2 linked regions of the Tamandua tetradactyla genome follow. The protein of the gene in region 2 purifies or fractionates together with the protein of the main gene of each other region. This does not show direct contact. Links are inferred from orthologs where the notes say so. Each region holds a gene or a part of one and is shown on either strand. Other genes may lie near its edges.

Region 1 (7,951 bases), on a different chromosome or scaffold from region 2:
GACATTTTATTTACATGGAATCATATAATATCCGGGCATTGCGTCTGGCTTCTTTCACTTGGTGTAATGTTCTCAAGATTCACCCGTGTTGTAGCATGTATCAGTACTTCACTTTTTATTACTTAATAATATTCCATTGTAAGGATAGACCACATTCATTCAAGTGATGGAAATTTGGGTCATCTCTGGCCTCACATGTAACAGTAGTATGTACTTTTTTCCCTTTCTTTTTAGTGTGTACATTTTAATTGCTGTGTAGTATTTCATTGTATGAACATACTCAGTATATCCATTCTGCTGTTGATGGGCATTCCCCCCTAGTTTTTGGTTATTTTAAGAGACTCTGTCCATTTTTGTACCTGCCTTTGGTGGGTTCAGTACTTGTCTCTGTTGAGTACAGACTCAAGAGTGGAATTCTTGGGTCCTAGTATATGCTGTATATTCAACTCTAGTAGATACAACCAAACACTTTTTCCAAAATGGCTGTACCAATTTATGCCACCACAGTGTCTGAGAGTCCCAGTTGCTCCCAGTCCTTGCCAACACTTGGCATTTTAATTTTAGTCATTCTGATGAGGGAATAGTGGTATCTCATTGTGGTTTTAATTAGCAATTCTGCCATGACTAATCATGTTGAGTACTTTTTCATATGCTGGCCATTTGGATGCCCTTTTTTTTTGATGTGCTGCTCATTCAAATGTTCTGTTCATTTTTAAAAATTATCATTTTTTCTTATTGTAGACATTCTTGATAAATTCTGGGTCCCATCCTTTGTTACCTTTATATATTGTAGACATTTTCTTCCAGTTTGTGATCTGACTTTTCAGTCTTTTACTTGTGTCTTTTGATGAGTTCTTCATTTTAATGAAGTTCATGTTGACAATCTTGTCTCATAGTTAATACTTTTTTTGTTATGTTTAAGAAATTGTTGCCTACTTCAAGGTCATGAACATATTCTTGAACAGTTATTTTCAGAAGGTTTATTGTTTATTTTTCATATTTAGGTCTCTGATCCATCCTAAATTATTTTCATGTATAGTGTAATGCAGGGGGTCGAGATTAATTTTACCCCCATGGATATGTAGTTGATCCAGCACCATTTACTAAAAAAATTATCCATTCCTTACTTATTTGCAATGTGCTAACTTTGTAATAAATCAGGTGGTCATATATATGTTTGCATCCTCCAATTTTATTTAAAATATATAGAATATATGCATATATACTTGTACATATGTGCGCACACTTACAGATGTGTGTGTGTGTGTGTGTGTGTGTGTGCATTGGAAGGAAGTAACAAGGTTTGTTAATAGTTGCTACATAAGGCTATATGTGGTTTCAATTTTCTTTCTTTTTATTACTTTCTGCATCAAATATAACATTCAGACAAAACAGACGAAATATTTTTCTAAAATATTCTGGGAGTGGAAAGGATCAAAGGTACAGGTTTTTAGAGGTTGGAGGAGGGGTTAGGCTGGATGGCAAGGAGGAGGGCTTCCTTATTCAGGAAAGCATCAAGGTGTGGCAGACCTTCTATCTTCTTAATGACCTCAGTTACAAGGAAAGAGTGGGGCTAGGAGGCTGGAGGCTTGAGGTAAATGGAAATATTATTATCAATAATGTGTACTGATTAGCAGTCATGGTCCCCTATGCTTCTTTCAGCAGTCCTAGGGGTGAGTCAAGTCCTGGTGATTACACTGATTTTATGGATAAGAAAACAGAGGCTCAGAGACCTGCTCAGGCATGCATTGAGGACCATGTTATGCAAGACAAATAAGGCACAGCCCCTGTCTGTCCTCAGGTAGCTTCCAGCCTGGGTAGGGAAAGAGCAAGTAAATGGTTTAAAGTTTAAAATCCAGTGTGTAAGTGCTAGAAGGAAGGTAAATGCTTGTAATGTGGGATCACAGAGAGGCACCCAACCTGGCCTGGAGGGCCAGGGAAGACATCTGGGGAGAGGGGATATCGAAATGAGTCTTTTTAATCTTTTCTTAATTATGTGAGTGATACATATGTTTAAAAATACAGATAAGAAAAAATCAATCACAGTCCCTCTATCAATACATAATCCCTATTTACACTTTGATGAAATTAATGCCTTTTAAACTTAATTCTTTCTCTGAGAAAAACACATACATATGCAAACACATACAAAATTGCATAGAAATAAATGAAATTCCACTACAGTAGCATTCTATAGTTTATTCTTCCTCAGTATATTTTAAACCAATATATACAAATTTACATAACAATTTAAATGCCCTTTTGTGGTATTTTTAAACATATAGATGTATCAAAATGTAATCAATCTCTTACTATATTAATTCATTTATAACATTTAGAGACTATAAACAATGTTGCAAAGAAGAACTTTTTAACACACTGTGATGGTTAGATTCTTGTGTCAACTCGGCCTCCTGATGATGCCCAGTTGTCTGGTCAAGCAAGCACTGGCCTAATGGTTGCTGCAAGGATATCTGATGGCGGGTTGATAAGCCAGAAGGCTGGTTTATTAAATCAGCAGTCAGTTGATTGCAGCTTACTATCAACTAAGAGAGTGCCTCCTCCCAAATAAGTTAATCAAATCACCTGGATTTGGACCTATCAGTTGAAGACTTTAAAGGAAGGAGAGAGAATTTTCACTGTTTATTCAGTCAACAAGCCTCTCCTGTGGAGTTCGTCAAGACTTCTTCGGAGCTGCCAGTGTCACAGCTTGCCCTATGGATTTTGGGCGCTTCCATTTCCATGGTTGTGTGAGACACCTTTAAAATCTCATATTTTACAGATATCTCCTGCTGGTTCTGTTTCTTTAGAGAGCTCTAATACACAAATATCTGTGCATGTCTCCATTTTTGTCTTAAGATGAATTCTCAGAATTCTTTGGTCAATTTACTTTTCCACTGTGTTTATCAACTTGGCTAACTGGACATTTTTCTTCTTTTTTTTAATTTGGTAAGTGAAAATGGCATCCATGTTGTTTTTGTTCCGTTTTCTGATACTTAATTTTAAAAATTATTAGCCATTTATATTTCTTCATTTTGGATTGCCCGTTTTTGGCCATTTTTATTTTGGAGTTTTTTTGGGTTTTCTTATTGACTGGAAAGAGTTCCTATTATTGATAATAAGTCTTTGTCACAGAGTTGCAAACTCTTTTTTTTCTTTAGAACATAATTTTTTTTTCCTGAATTTCATTTGGGAGAACAGTTAGTCATAAGAGCAAGGCTATTCCACAGCAAACAGTAATGAGGAGAAATCTGCTCTCTCAGATATTGTATTAGTTTGTTAATTCTGCCAAAATATACCAGAAATGGAATGGGTTTTAATAAGAGAATTTAATAAGTTACACATTTAGTTCTAAGCCAGGCCATAAAAATGTCTAAACTAACACATCCAAGCAAAGATACCTTGACTCAAGAAAGGCCAATGTCTGTCACATGGGAAGGTCAGCTTCTGATGCCAGTGGTTTCCTGTCTACGCATCTGTGGGCTTTCACTTAGCTCCTCCAGGACACAACTCTGGGTTCTGGCTTGCTTAGCATCTTATGTGAAAGCGCGTGGTGTGTGCATCTCTGTCAGCTCTGAAGCAACTGTTCTCCCAGCATCTGCATCTGAGGTTTCTCCAAAATGTTTCTCTTTTTAAAGGACTCTAGTAAACTAATCAAGACCCACCTTGAATGGGTGTGTCACATTTCCATGGAAGTAAACCCAAGTTTCCCACCCTAAACAATAGGTCTGGCACCACAAGATTGGATCAGGATTAAAATATGGCTTTTCTGAGGGCACATAGTAGTTTCAAACCATCACAGATATAAAATGTATTATAAACCTGCAATGAGCTGGCACAGGGAAGATTAACAGACAAAACTCAGAAACATCCAAGTATATACAAGTTCAGCATATGATGAAGGTGGTACCTGAAATCAGTAGAGAAAATGGTGTTTGGACAACTATCACAAAAATCACGTCGGATTTCTTCACTCTAGAACCAAAATAAATTCTAAGTAGACTAAAAGCTAAGTGTATATAAATTTAGAAATTAAAAAATAGAAAAAATAATAAATAGTTATCATCTTTGGTGAAAAGTGATTCGCTTACCCAAAAGAGCCAAGAAAACATTTTGTAAGCGAACAGAGGAGTGGAAAGGCATTCCAGGCAGAGGGACTGAGCAAATGTCTGGAGACTCCAAGAAGCAAAGCAGCGTGCTTTACTCTAAATAGCCAGGGTCAGGAATCGAACTCCGGATGCCCACAACGGAATCCGGGACTGAGTCCACGCCCGCTCCCACAGGCCATAATAATTTTGTAAAATAGCACTTTTTCCATATATGGTACTTAATATCTGTTCTTCTGGTAGGATGACATAGGACAGGGAAAAAACAGCCCGCGGGGCCGGGCGCCAGCTACGCCAGCCTCCCCTGTCCGCTCCCGCCGGGCCTGCCCCAGCGCAGGCAATGCACCAAAGCCGGGTTCCGGAGCCGTCCGCGCCCGGAGCCGCCTCCTCCTGATTGGACGCTCACTGCGTCAATCCTCCTCCTCGAACCTGGCTGTCCGTTGGACCCGCCCTTGGAGGGCGGGGCTCCCGCCTAGGAAGCGCGGGGGAAGGTGGAGCGGGTGGAGCTGGGGGCGGATGGGGAGGACCAGTCCCCACCCTTCTGATCCAGGGGCTCCGCCCACCCCACTTTCCACAGGTCAAGATGTCCTTCCATCAAGACCCGGCGCATACAGGAGTGGGCGAGACAGCTTAGGGGCGGGGCCTTTCCTCCCTGCTCCGCTCACTAGCCGGCTTCGGACTGGGAATGGACCGGCGACTGAGAGGGCGGGGCAGGGGGGGCGGCGAGGATCCGAGCTGGGTGCGGTGAGGCGCGCAGATCACCGCGGTTCCTGGGCAGGGCACGGAAGGCTCGGCGAGGCTGACCTGCTGCCGCTCCCGCCTCGCGCGTTCGCCCCATCCCGCCGCCACCCGAGCGCTCGAGAACGCTCCCTCGGGAGAAGCATCGCCTGTTCCCCGGGGCTCCTCCAGGTCCAGGTGAGCGAGCCCCACCGGCGGGTCCCGCCCTGGGCCGGCGGGCGGGGGCGGCGGCGATGGGGCGCGCGGCGTCAGGGGCGCGCGGGCCGAACTGTGGTTGTCGGCCCCGGCGTGGCCCGCGACCGGCGCGGGCGGGCGCGAATGCCGGCGACCCCGGACCGGGCAGCGCATCCTCTCCGGAGGGACTGCGGGACCCCTGCGCGGGTGCTAGGGGACGGCGCCCCTGGGAGCGAGGCCTCCGGGAGCGGAGGAAGTCTTCGGTGCCGCGCGCTCCCGGGCCACGGTTCCCTCCCTCCCGCTGCCGGGCACGTCCCCCCCGCCCCGGCACTTGGGGACCCCGACCTCGTCCGACCGCCGGGGGCACGCGCCCCGCTCTCCCCTCGCCCAGTGCCCAACTTGGTAGAACTTTTTTAACCTCTTCCGGGGAGCCGTTGCCCCTTGGACCCAGCCGGGCGGGTGGAGGTGCTGTGGGGGACTCGAGCAGTCAGGGCTCCGGGCAGGGGCTCCTTTGGAAGTTTCCATGCGTTTTGGGGACGGAGGTAACGGGCGGGAGGAGACCGTTTGGCAGCTGTCAGGGCGGCCTCCTGAGTCAGAATGGGACAATCCCGCCGCAGACATTGCGCTCGGCTCGGTTTCCGCCCTGGGCTGCAGACTTCCTCATTCGCCCTGCTGCGAAGGGTCGGGCCCTGGAGGAGGGCGGAGGAGAGGTACGGAGGGGTGCGTGGGGAAGGGGGACCCGGCAGGGACGCGGCCGCGGCGCAGGAAAGAACACCCACCCCCCCCAACCTTTGACTGCTATTGCCGGGGAGAGGAAGGAAACCTCGGAATGCACGCAGCCGTCGGGCCGGCCTAAGCGTGCACCTGATTCCTCCGCACCCGCGGCCGCCCCGCCCGGGCCATGCGGCTAGAAGCGGCATCCTGTTCCTTTAGGTCCAGGTTTGGGTTATCGCATCTTGTCTGCTTGGGCCGGATCCAGGGTTTTGAACCCCTCCTCCCACTCCCTGTGCTGGAGTCCTCATCCCATCCCCGTCCTGGGGCCACTCCAAGGCCCCGGGTAGGACCAGAGCACCCCAGTTCCCTTCACGATGCCCATTGTTCACACTGAAACGTAGTGACTTCCAGGGCTGAAGCTCGCCTGCTGCCTTGAAGGTGGTAGTGGTGGTGGTGGTGGGGTGAGAGCCAGGACTGCTGCCGGCGCCCCACCCAGCCGGTGTGAAGGAGAAGGTTCCTGGGAAGTCCCAGGTCCGGAGGACGGCTGATTTTAGGGCCCCAGACGCTTCTCGGTTCACCGAGCCCTCTCAGCAGGATTTTAGAGTAACTGTTGAAGGGGAAGGAAGCTTAGTTCCTTTTGGGATAACACTATGGCCATTTCTGAGCCGGCCTGAAAACCTCTTGGTGAGGAGGAAAGCTGCTCTAAGGCCTATTTAGACAATCGCCCCACTAATATTTGTCAATTTATATATAAGGCTGCCATGGGTGGGGTGGGGGTACAGAGATGTGTAATTGAGCAAATATTTGACTGGCTTCTCTGCCAAGAACTCTGCCACGGAGTGGGGGTGGGGGTGGGGGTATGTGCAAGGTTGAGTAAGACCTGGCCCCTGCCCTCTGGCATTTAGGGGAGAGCCCAGACAAATCTGTCAATGACTCTAAAGTGAGGTGAGGTGGAGATGACAGGGACCCCAGAAAGGTACTGTGAGTCATGGAGATTGAGAGAAATGATCCAGCTCCCCCCCTCACCCCTGAGTGGAGATCCTGGAGGCCTCTTGGAGGAGGCCTCTGCCATCTGGGAGTTTGCAGTCTTCCAGGGGACATAGTGGCAGAATGACAGGAACACAAAGGCAGCCTGTGATGAGCATCACAAGAATGCCATAGACAAAGGACTCGAGGAATTCCAAGGCCTAGGGAGACTAGTTCTGTGTGAAGGGAGGAGAAAGCAGCTGTGAGGAAGGAGCATGTTGCAGGTTTGGCAAACTGAGGCAAGCATATGGTGTTGGAAAGTGAGGCGTCATCTAGTGGATAATTGGGAGGTAATTAAAAGTGTCAAGATTGCTCAGTGTAATTTGAGAGTCACCGTGTCCCTGGTGGCTGCTGGGTATTGCCAGGCCAGTGACACTGAAGAGCCCCACTCTCCACCTCCAGCAAGTCCTGGTACCTGGAGCTGGGGCTGGCCAGCTAGATTTGGGGAGTTATTCCTGGGAGAGGGGCAATTGGAGAGGTGTATTCTGTGCGGATGCTTGTCCTAAGGCTTGTGAGGGTAGATGAAAGAGGCCCTTTTTGTTTTTAAACTTTTTAATCTGAGGGGTTAGAGATGGGACAACTGCTCTCTTGTAGGATGAAGGATGCATGTAAATCACAGCCTGCCTTTTGCCTGCTCTTGCTTCAAAAAAAAAAAAAAAAAAAAAACCCAAAACAACAAAACAAAGATCTGTTAGCTCCTTAAAAGAAGAAAAGCACACTAAAAAAATGCAGCATTGTTGTGTTGCCTGATAGGGTATTGCTAGAAGCCAGGATGGCTGTGCTTTCTTAACTTCCTCTTCTAGCTAATCCTTCAATAAAGTACTTAAAACAGCCCTTACCAGCTTGATATCTTTATTTCAAAAGGAGAGGAGGGGTTGGCCATAGTATTTCTCTGAGCCTGGGCCCTACCCTTCTTTTGGAGGGAAAGAAAGAGAATCCCAAAGGAAAGGGAAAAAAAAATCCATGCCTTGACAGCTCCCTTCTAAGCATCATGTTCCAAAAATATTTAGAATAACAAAATCTGTGTCGTCTTAATTAAACAAATGTTCTAATTTGCTGAGCATAAAACAGCATCTCTGCCTGGGGCAGGAAGTACATTTTCCCTTTGTGCAGCCCCGGCAAGTCTCTGCCTCCCTGCCTTAACCCTTGATGCGCTGAGCCCCTGGGTTTAAATCCTCTGGTGACAACAGAAG
Region 2 (7,061 bases):
AAAGTTAATGATAGTCATATGTGGAGCAAGAACAAAGAATACTTTTACTTTCTACACTATACATACACCTCAATTGTATTTCATTGTTTTTACAATAAGCATGTATTACTTTTGCTAACTGATGCTCTAGAATTAGACCTGGATTCAACAGTCACTTCACCACTTAGTAACTGGGTGGGGACACTGGAGAAATAATTTACATTCCCTAATCCTCAATATATCCTCAGCTGGAAAATGGGGATAACAACAGCACCTACCTTAGAAAGTTATTCTGTTGATTAGAAAGTACAGTCTCTGGCATAAAGTGCTCAAGAGATGCTAACTTGCAAGATCAGACCCTTTTCAAAGAGGGGTCCACATGTTATCACATTAAATCTAAATCTTCCATTTATATATAGACTTAGAAGAACTCTGAAAAATTAAGAGCTCTTTCAAATATAAACTTTAAAATTAAATTATTTCACATCACAGTCCTAACAATAGTCAAATATTTACACATTTAAAAATGAATCACATCAGACAGTCACTTATTCTACTAGGCTTCTAAATATTTACTTTGTATATAGAAGAGCTGTACTTTCGGTTGAGTAACTTTAAGCCACGCTCAGTCTCATTCTTTACCATAAGCAAGCTGCATCCTGGAAGAAAAGTTTTGGTTCACGGATCATCTGCATCAAAACTACCCAAAATTCACAGACAGATTCAGAGTGGTAAGGGGCCCTGGAGTTCTGCAATGAAAGGGCCTTTTGCCCAGAACCTGATTTTAAATAAGAGCCCCAGATGCTTCTTACACATACTAAACTTTAAGAATTACCGCTGTACAATAAAGGCATCTTAAGATTTAAAAATTTACATGCCAGACAGTGAACTACAATGTTTTGTATAAAATGAAAATAACACACATTCACTTGGCACAACTAGAAAAAAGCCATTTTGGACAAAAAAAGAAAGAAAAAGAATCTAAATGGTCATTCAATAATGCTGGAGAGTTCTTCTAATTTAAGCAGGTAACTATTAATTTCTTTTAAATTATGGTAGCTCTCTATTCTGTATTACTTCATTTCTTCAAACATAATGCAATTCTCCTGCTGCTGCATAATATCTGACATGATAACAAGAATTACTGGAAAAAATCTCTAAGTACCATGAAGTATTCAAATCCTAGTAATCCTCCCAAACCTGAATACACTTGCTGAAACTACCTAAAACCATTTATTTAAATGCTTGTTTTCATTATGAAAGAAGGCTGATTATCAAGAACTAATTTCTTTCATCTTGAGATTTGGAAAATTCTGACTATGGGAAGAGGCAACAGAGCAAATAAAGTTATCTATTTCTACCCTCTCAAAAAGGATGCTATCACAAACGTAGGGAAAAGACACTGAGAAAAAATAGTATTTCAATGGGTTAATAATAATTTAACTACCTCATCAATGGTCTAAATAAGTTCTATTCCCTTAAATTTTTCATGTCATCTTAAGGCCATTGCATAATAAGTTTAAATGATTTTCATTTTTTTAACATTAACCGTTACTCCCATTAAAAGTTAAAGTCATACAAGCCCCAAATTGACCCAATCTCCCTAAATATAAATGATACAGGGAAAAAAGCATAAGCAGGCCCAAAAGCACTATCTTAAAGCAAAGAAAACACCAGAACACAAATAACACAAGCAAACTACATTTGTGACCTAGTGGCAGTATCGATTACTTACGGATGAATTCAATCCTTTGAGCCTCCCAGTTCCCAGAGGGACAACTTAAGCTTCCCGTGGAATTCTAGCAACCCTTCTGGCTGGCTGAAGGAACACAGTGACCGCTTAAACGTTAAGGAATGGAAGCCGGAATGAGGGTATCTTCCCAAGAAAGAAAACGGAACCTTTAAATGAGGGAGAGAATGTACAGCCTACACCAAACTGCAGAAGAGGCTTTTGAGACAGGACACTAAGGAGGAAGGGGAAATAGACTGGGGGGGAGGGGAAGGGGAGGGAAGGGAAGGGAAGGGAGGGGGGGAAGTAGATGGGGGGAAGGGAAGGGGAGGGGGGAAGCAAATGACTTGCATTATACAAATAATGCATTTAGTGTCTATGCTAAAATGAAAATACCTAGAGATAGACAGGGAAAGCAATAACTGAAGAAAAAAGTGAAAGAGGGACAAGAGAGCCAAAATAGACAAATGCCAATTTCTTCATGTGTATTTCAAACTATTTTCTGCGTCCACAGAACCAAGTTAGACCTCGAGTGAACTTCAGCTCCTCTGCCAATCGTACTTTTATAGCACTTTAAACCAACCTAGAATAACTTTCTACATAAGCCGAGACTCACAATGCTTACGATATATATTCGTAGAGCTCTGCAAGTGAAAAATCCGTGTTTCTTGCCGAAATCGTTCCTGGGGCATTCCACCCAATTACCCAATTTTTCAGAGTAGCTCCCCCCAACTCCCTCCCCCCCCAAAAAAAACAGCGACAGAAATAATGGCATCTCTCCCGGCTCCGAGAGTAAACGTTCTAACGCACGGTACTGACAAGGTTGGAGGATTCCCTCATGAAATTCGGGCCCCGAACACCAACACTTGGTGACGTGGTGGCCGTGCACGTCGAAGAAGCATCACATTTGCAGCCTGCCCCGAATCCCCCGCCTCCTGGGCTAAGTCAGACTGACTCAGAAAATGAGCACCCAGCGCCTCTCGGGATTCTCCCGAGCCCCTTCAGAGCAAACCCTCAAGATAAACGTGGACTTTCAAGGAGAATCACCCCAAGGGGCCCCCGGGGTCCCAGGCTCTGCCTGAGAGCCGCGGGCGAAGGAAGACAGTCCCCAGGAAGGAAGCGTCCGAAAAGAGGAAACGTGGAGACCCGAGCCCCGGAGACTCCGCTCCTCGTCCCAGGCCTCGCCTACCCGACCCGAGATCCGCGGCCGGCCCGGCGGCCCGGGGCGGGCTCGGCTCGACCCCCGGGGTCGACTCCCGCCGCGGGGCCGGGAGGAAGAGGCACCCGAGCAGCGCCGAACGCCGCCGCCCGCACTCACCGTGGCGCAGCTGTTCTGCTCCGCGCCGGGCCGGCCCCTCCGCAGCGGTGCGAGCGACCGCCGACCCTGCTGCTGCTCCCCTAGGGCAGCGTCTGTGTCCGCCGCCGTCAGAACCAGCTTTCGTGACCGTTGCCGCCGCCACCGCCGCCGCCCGGTTGCCGAAGCACCTCAGCCTCCTCGCTTCCGCTCCTCGTCGGGGTCCCGCGAGAACATCTCCGCGTGGCCCCGCCCCACCCCGCCTCCGCGAGACTTCCCCCGGAGGAAAAGGCCCAGAGCGCAAGCGCTCCTTTTAGGCCGGGCCCTCGCAAGGTAGACACCATCTAGGTGCCAAGGCGCACGCGCCAGGCCGGTCCGCAGCAGGTGGCACTGGGAAGGCTCCGCCCCCTGGTGGCCGTAACCCTCTCGGTGCCAGAGCTAGTAAAGTACGCCGCAGACCCGAAGGTGTAACTCTTTCCAAACCATAGTCATTTTCCCTTCTCCTTACACCACAGCAAGGGAATGAGGGAAGAGGGGATACCTCTCCAACATGAAGCACGCTAAATAGAGGACCGTAACATGAAATGTTTGAGAACCGGTCCATACAAACGCTGCATTGTAAGATGAAATAACGGATTCGTTCGTTCATTAATCAAATCATGCTCCTAATATGTATTAGGTCTAAAAGATCCTACGACGGTCCCCTTGAAGGTGTGGGGAGAAAGAAGGAAATATTCAACTTCCCTATCTAGGGAATTCCTGACATTCTCGCAAGCAGTGGGGACAGTCAAATCAATAGGCTGAGCCTTCAATCAAACTTATTCCTGCAAAGGAGAAGCTAAGCCTACTTATAATTATGCCTGAGTCTCCCCCCAGAGAACCTCTTTTGTGGCTCAGATGTGGGTCTCTCTCTAAGCCAATTCGGTAAATGAACTCACTGCCCTCCTCCCCAAGTAGGATATGACTCCAAGAGGTGTAATTCTCCCTGGTGAAGTGAGACATGACTCCCAGGGATGAGCTGGGATCTGGTCTCATGGAACTGAGAAAGTCTTCTTGACCAAAAGAGGAAAGAAAGAAGTGGAACAAAATAAAGTTTCAGTGGCTAAGAGATTTCAAACCGAGTTGAGAAGTTATCTTGGAGGTTATTCTTTCGCATTATACAGATATTGCTTTTTAGTTTATGGTGTATTGGAGTGGCTGGAGGGAAGTACTTGAAACTGCTGAACTGTGTTCCATTAGTCTTGATTCTTGAAGATGATTATATAACAATATAGCTTTTACAATATGACTGTGTGATTGTGAAAACCTTGTGTCTGATGCTCCTTTTATCCAGGGTATGGGCAGATGAGAAAAAATAAGTATAATAAATAAATAATAGGGGGAGGAGAAAGGGTAAAAAATTGGGTAGATTGAAATACTGGTGGTCAATGAGAGAAAGGAGTAAGGAGTATGGGATATATGAGTTTTTTCTTTTTATTAATTTTTCTGGAGTGATGCAAATGTTCTAAAAATGATCATATTGATGAATACACAGCTATGTGATGATACTGGGAACCATTGATTGTACACCATGTATGGACTGTATCTGTGGGAAGATATCTCAATAAATATGTTTTTAAAAGATAATGAATACTTGGTTAAAGATTAAGAAAAAAGGGTATAACAATGAACAAATATCCCAGCCCTCAAGGAATTCACAGTCTGGAGGAGTAAGACAAGTAAACAATCATATAGCTATTGTTATAATTATTTGGCAAATGTTGAAGATGCTACAGAGATGGAGGGAGGGTTACTTTGCCCATCACAGAAAAGCCCTGGCTGAGAAGGTGATGTGATGATGTTTGGATTGAGTCTTGGAGGATGAGTAGGAGTTCGCCAGGCATAGAAGCTGGAGCAAGGCATTCCACATAAAAAGAACGGTGCCTACAAGGGAACTGAGGCATGAGAAAAAAGGAAGCGTTCTGTGCAAGGCTAAGTAGTTTGATGTCTGTACGTGACTAAGGGGAGTGGCAGAAGACGAGGCTTGGAGAAGTAACTCATTTTTCAGTTCCAAAAGCTCTTTCAATTAAAGGAGAGAACAGAATGCATCTGATGTTAATGTACTTTCTGGAAGCCAACAAAATAGCATTGTAATGAGACTAACCAAACATCTGATTCTGTAGAGAAAGCAAACCCTTTGGAATAAGGGAGGTTTGTTCTTTCACCAAGTATTTATTGGTCATCAACAGTGGGCAAGGTCCTGGGCAGTAAAAGTTGAACCTGACAGAGCCTCTGCTTTCAGCAGTTTGTGATCCAAAGAAACTTGCCTAGTCTGCAAGGCAGAGCAGTTGGCCCTAAGAACCAGTGAACTACATCTAGGACTGCAGAGGAAAGAAGCATTACTTGGAACTGGAACTTGAAAGCAGGGATGAAAGAATGACTGAACCAGTCAATATTTCAGATAGGCCCAGGATTTGGGGGAGAAATTAGATGCAAGGCCAAGATGCACAGCTTAGGTTTCACAGTCAGGTGATGTGCAACCTGCTCTGAAAACTTCTGAGTAGGAGATGTCTAATATGAGGGGACAGTAGAAAGTGGACCATCTATTTAGCATCTGCTTGTACTAAAATTGTAGCTCCTCTACAGCCTGGATAATATCCCTGTTTTACAGATTTGGAAACTGAGGGTCAGAGAGGTAACTAACTTATCCAAGGAAACCCAGATATTGCAGTCCTAAGATTTGAGCCTGTCTTATTCTAAAACCCATGTCTCTCCCCACCATGACACTCTGTTCTATATTGGTGGCCAGTAAAACAAAAATGAAAGGGAAGGACTTGGCAGCTGAGCCAAGAGGAAGAGGGAAGAGAGACAGTTACTTATTTCGTGGAGGCCCTGGGTGACAGAAGAAAACAAATTTACAAATCAAGAGTAGCTGATGGGGCTGGGGGTGGGGGCCATATACCGGGGTGCGGCAGGGGAGTGGGTAAGGAGGTGATGATGATGCCCTAAGTGTGGAAATGTGGAGTCCAGCACTCCAGGAGACATCCAAGTGGAAATATCCAGTATACTGATGAAAAGCTCAATGCATTCAATGATTCTCTGCACCATTTGCTGAGCATCAATTTGACTGAGAACAGAACAACCCCTCTGGGAGTTTGCAGCTTAAAGGGTATAGATGTCCCTCTGGGACTATAATAGGCTATTACTGGTGGTTTTGGCAGCCCACAGGAGGGGACCTGACCTAGTCCAGGATCAGGGAAGGCTGAGGAAGTAGGGTTAAGCTGAGAGCTGAAAGGAGAGTATTCAGTAGGGTAGCCAAACTGAGAGGGAGAGACTGTTTTAGGCAGACTTCACGTGCAAAGATCAGTAAGAGAGAACTCAAGGAAGCCAGTATAGCTGGGACAAGGAGAGAAAATGGGAAGAAGGATGTGGCATGTGGCTGAAACAGTTAGAGCGGCTCATGTGCCTTTTCAACATTGCTCAAGACTTGAGACTTGATGCTGTGAGATACTGAAGCAGGCGTGACCAGCGGTCAGATTTCATTTTCAAAATACTTTATCACTCTGGCTGCAGAATGGAAAATCGATTGGAACTAAGATACAGAGTGCCTACAAGATAAGATCTCCAGTCCTTTGCAAGACTTTTAAAGAGCTGGCCTCTGCTTACCAGCGCCCACCCGCTTAGTCCCCAGCCAACGCTCCCCATCCCCACCCCCATTCCAACACACACTTCACCAGTACTAAACCATTTGTGGTTTGCGGAAGATGCCATGATCTTTTGAGGGTCCATATCTTTATACTAGCTGTTTCCTCTGCCCGGTTGGCCTTCTCCCCTTTGTTAGGTCCCCAAGTCAATTTTAGAGCTCCTTCTCCAAAATTCCTGCCTTACCTCCAATCTCATTGCATTAACGTTTATTTGCTTCTTGGTTTCCTAATAGTCTCCAGGCTTCAGGACAGATACGACCATGCCTTTTCACATTTGTATTGCCAGCACCCAATACAGTGAGTAGCACAAAATAGGGTAAATGAAGTGAATAAATGGATGGATGGATGGATGGATGGATGGGTGGATAAATGGATG

Evidence for each region. Proteins that work in one complex are often made in the same cells at the same time.
Region 1: the proteins of GRB2 (region 2) and MYH9 purify together in Homo sapiens (affinity purification with mass spectrometry; 3 studies listed by BioGRID and IntAct, with this or other methods). This does not show direct contact. The link is inferred for Tamandua tetradactyla from reciprocal best matches to the Homo sapiens genes GRB2 and MYH9.

Annotation. Positions count from the first base shown.
Region 1 is NC_135333.1:28,689,349-28,697,299, reverse strand, and holds the start of MYH9 (myosin-9), read left to right. Parts: upstream 1-4,833; 5' UTR 4,834-5,021; intron 5,022-5,709; exon of another isoform or gene 5,710-5,728; intron 5,729-7,951. UniProt on the Homo sapiens protein: Cellular myosin that appears to play a role in cytokinesis, cell shape, and specialized functions such as secretion and capping. Required for cortical actin clearance prior to oocyte exocytosis. Promotes cell motility in conjunction with S100A4.
Region 2 is NC_135332.1:15,811,138-15,818,198, forward strand, and holds the start of GRB2 (growth factor receptor-bound protein 2), read right to left. Parts: upstream 3,240-7,061; 5' UTR 3,027-3,239; intron 2,459-3,026; exon of another isoform or gene 2,325-2,458; intron 1,912-2,324; exon of another isoform or gene 1,715-1,911; intron 1-1,714. UniProt on the Homo sapiens protein: Non-enzymatic adapter protein that plays a pivotal role in precisely regulated signaling cascades from cell surface receptors to cellular responses, including signaling transduction and gene expression.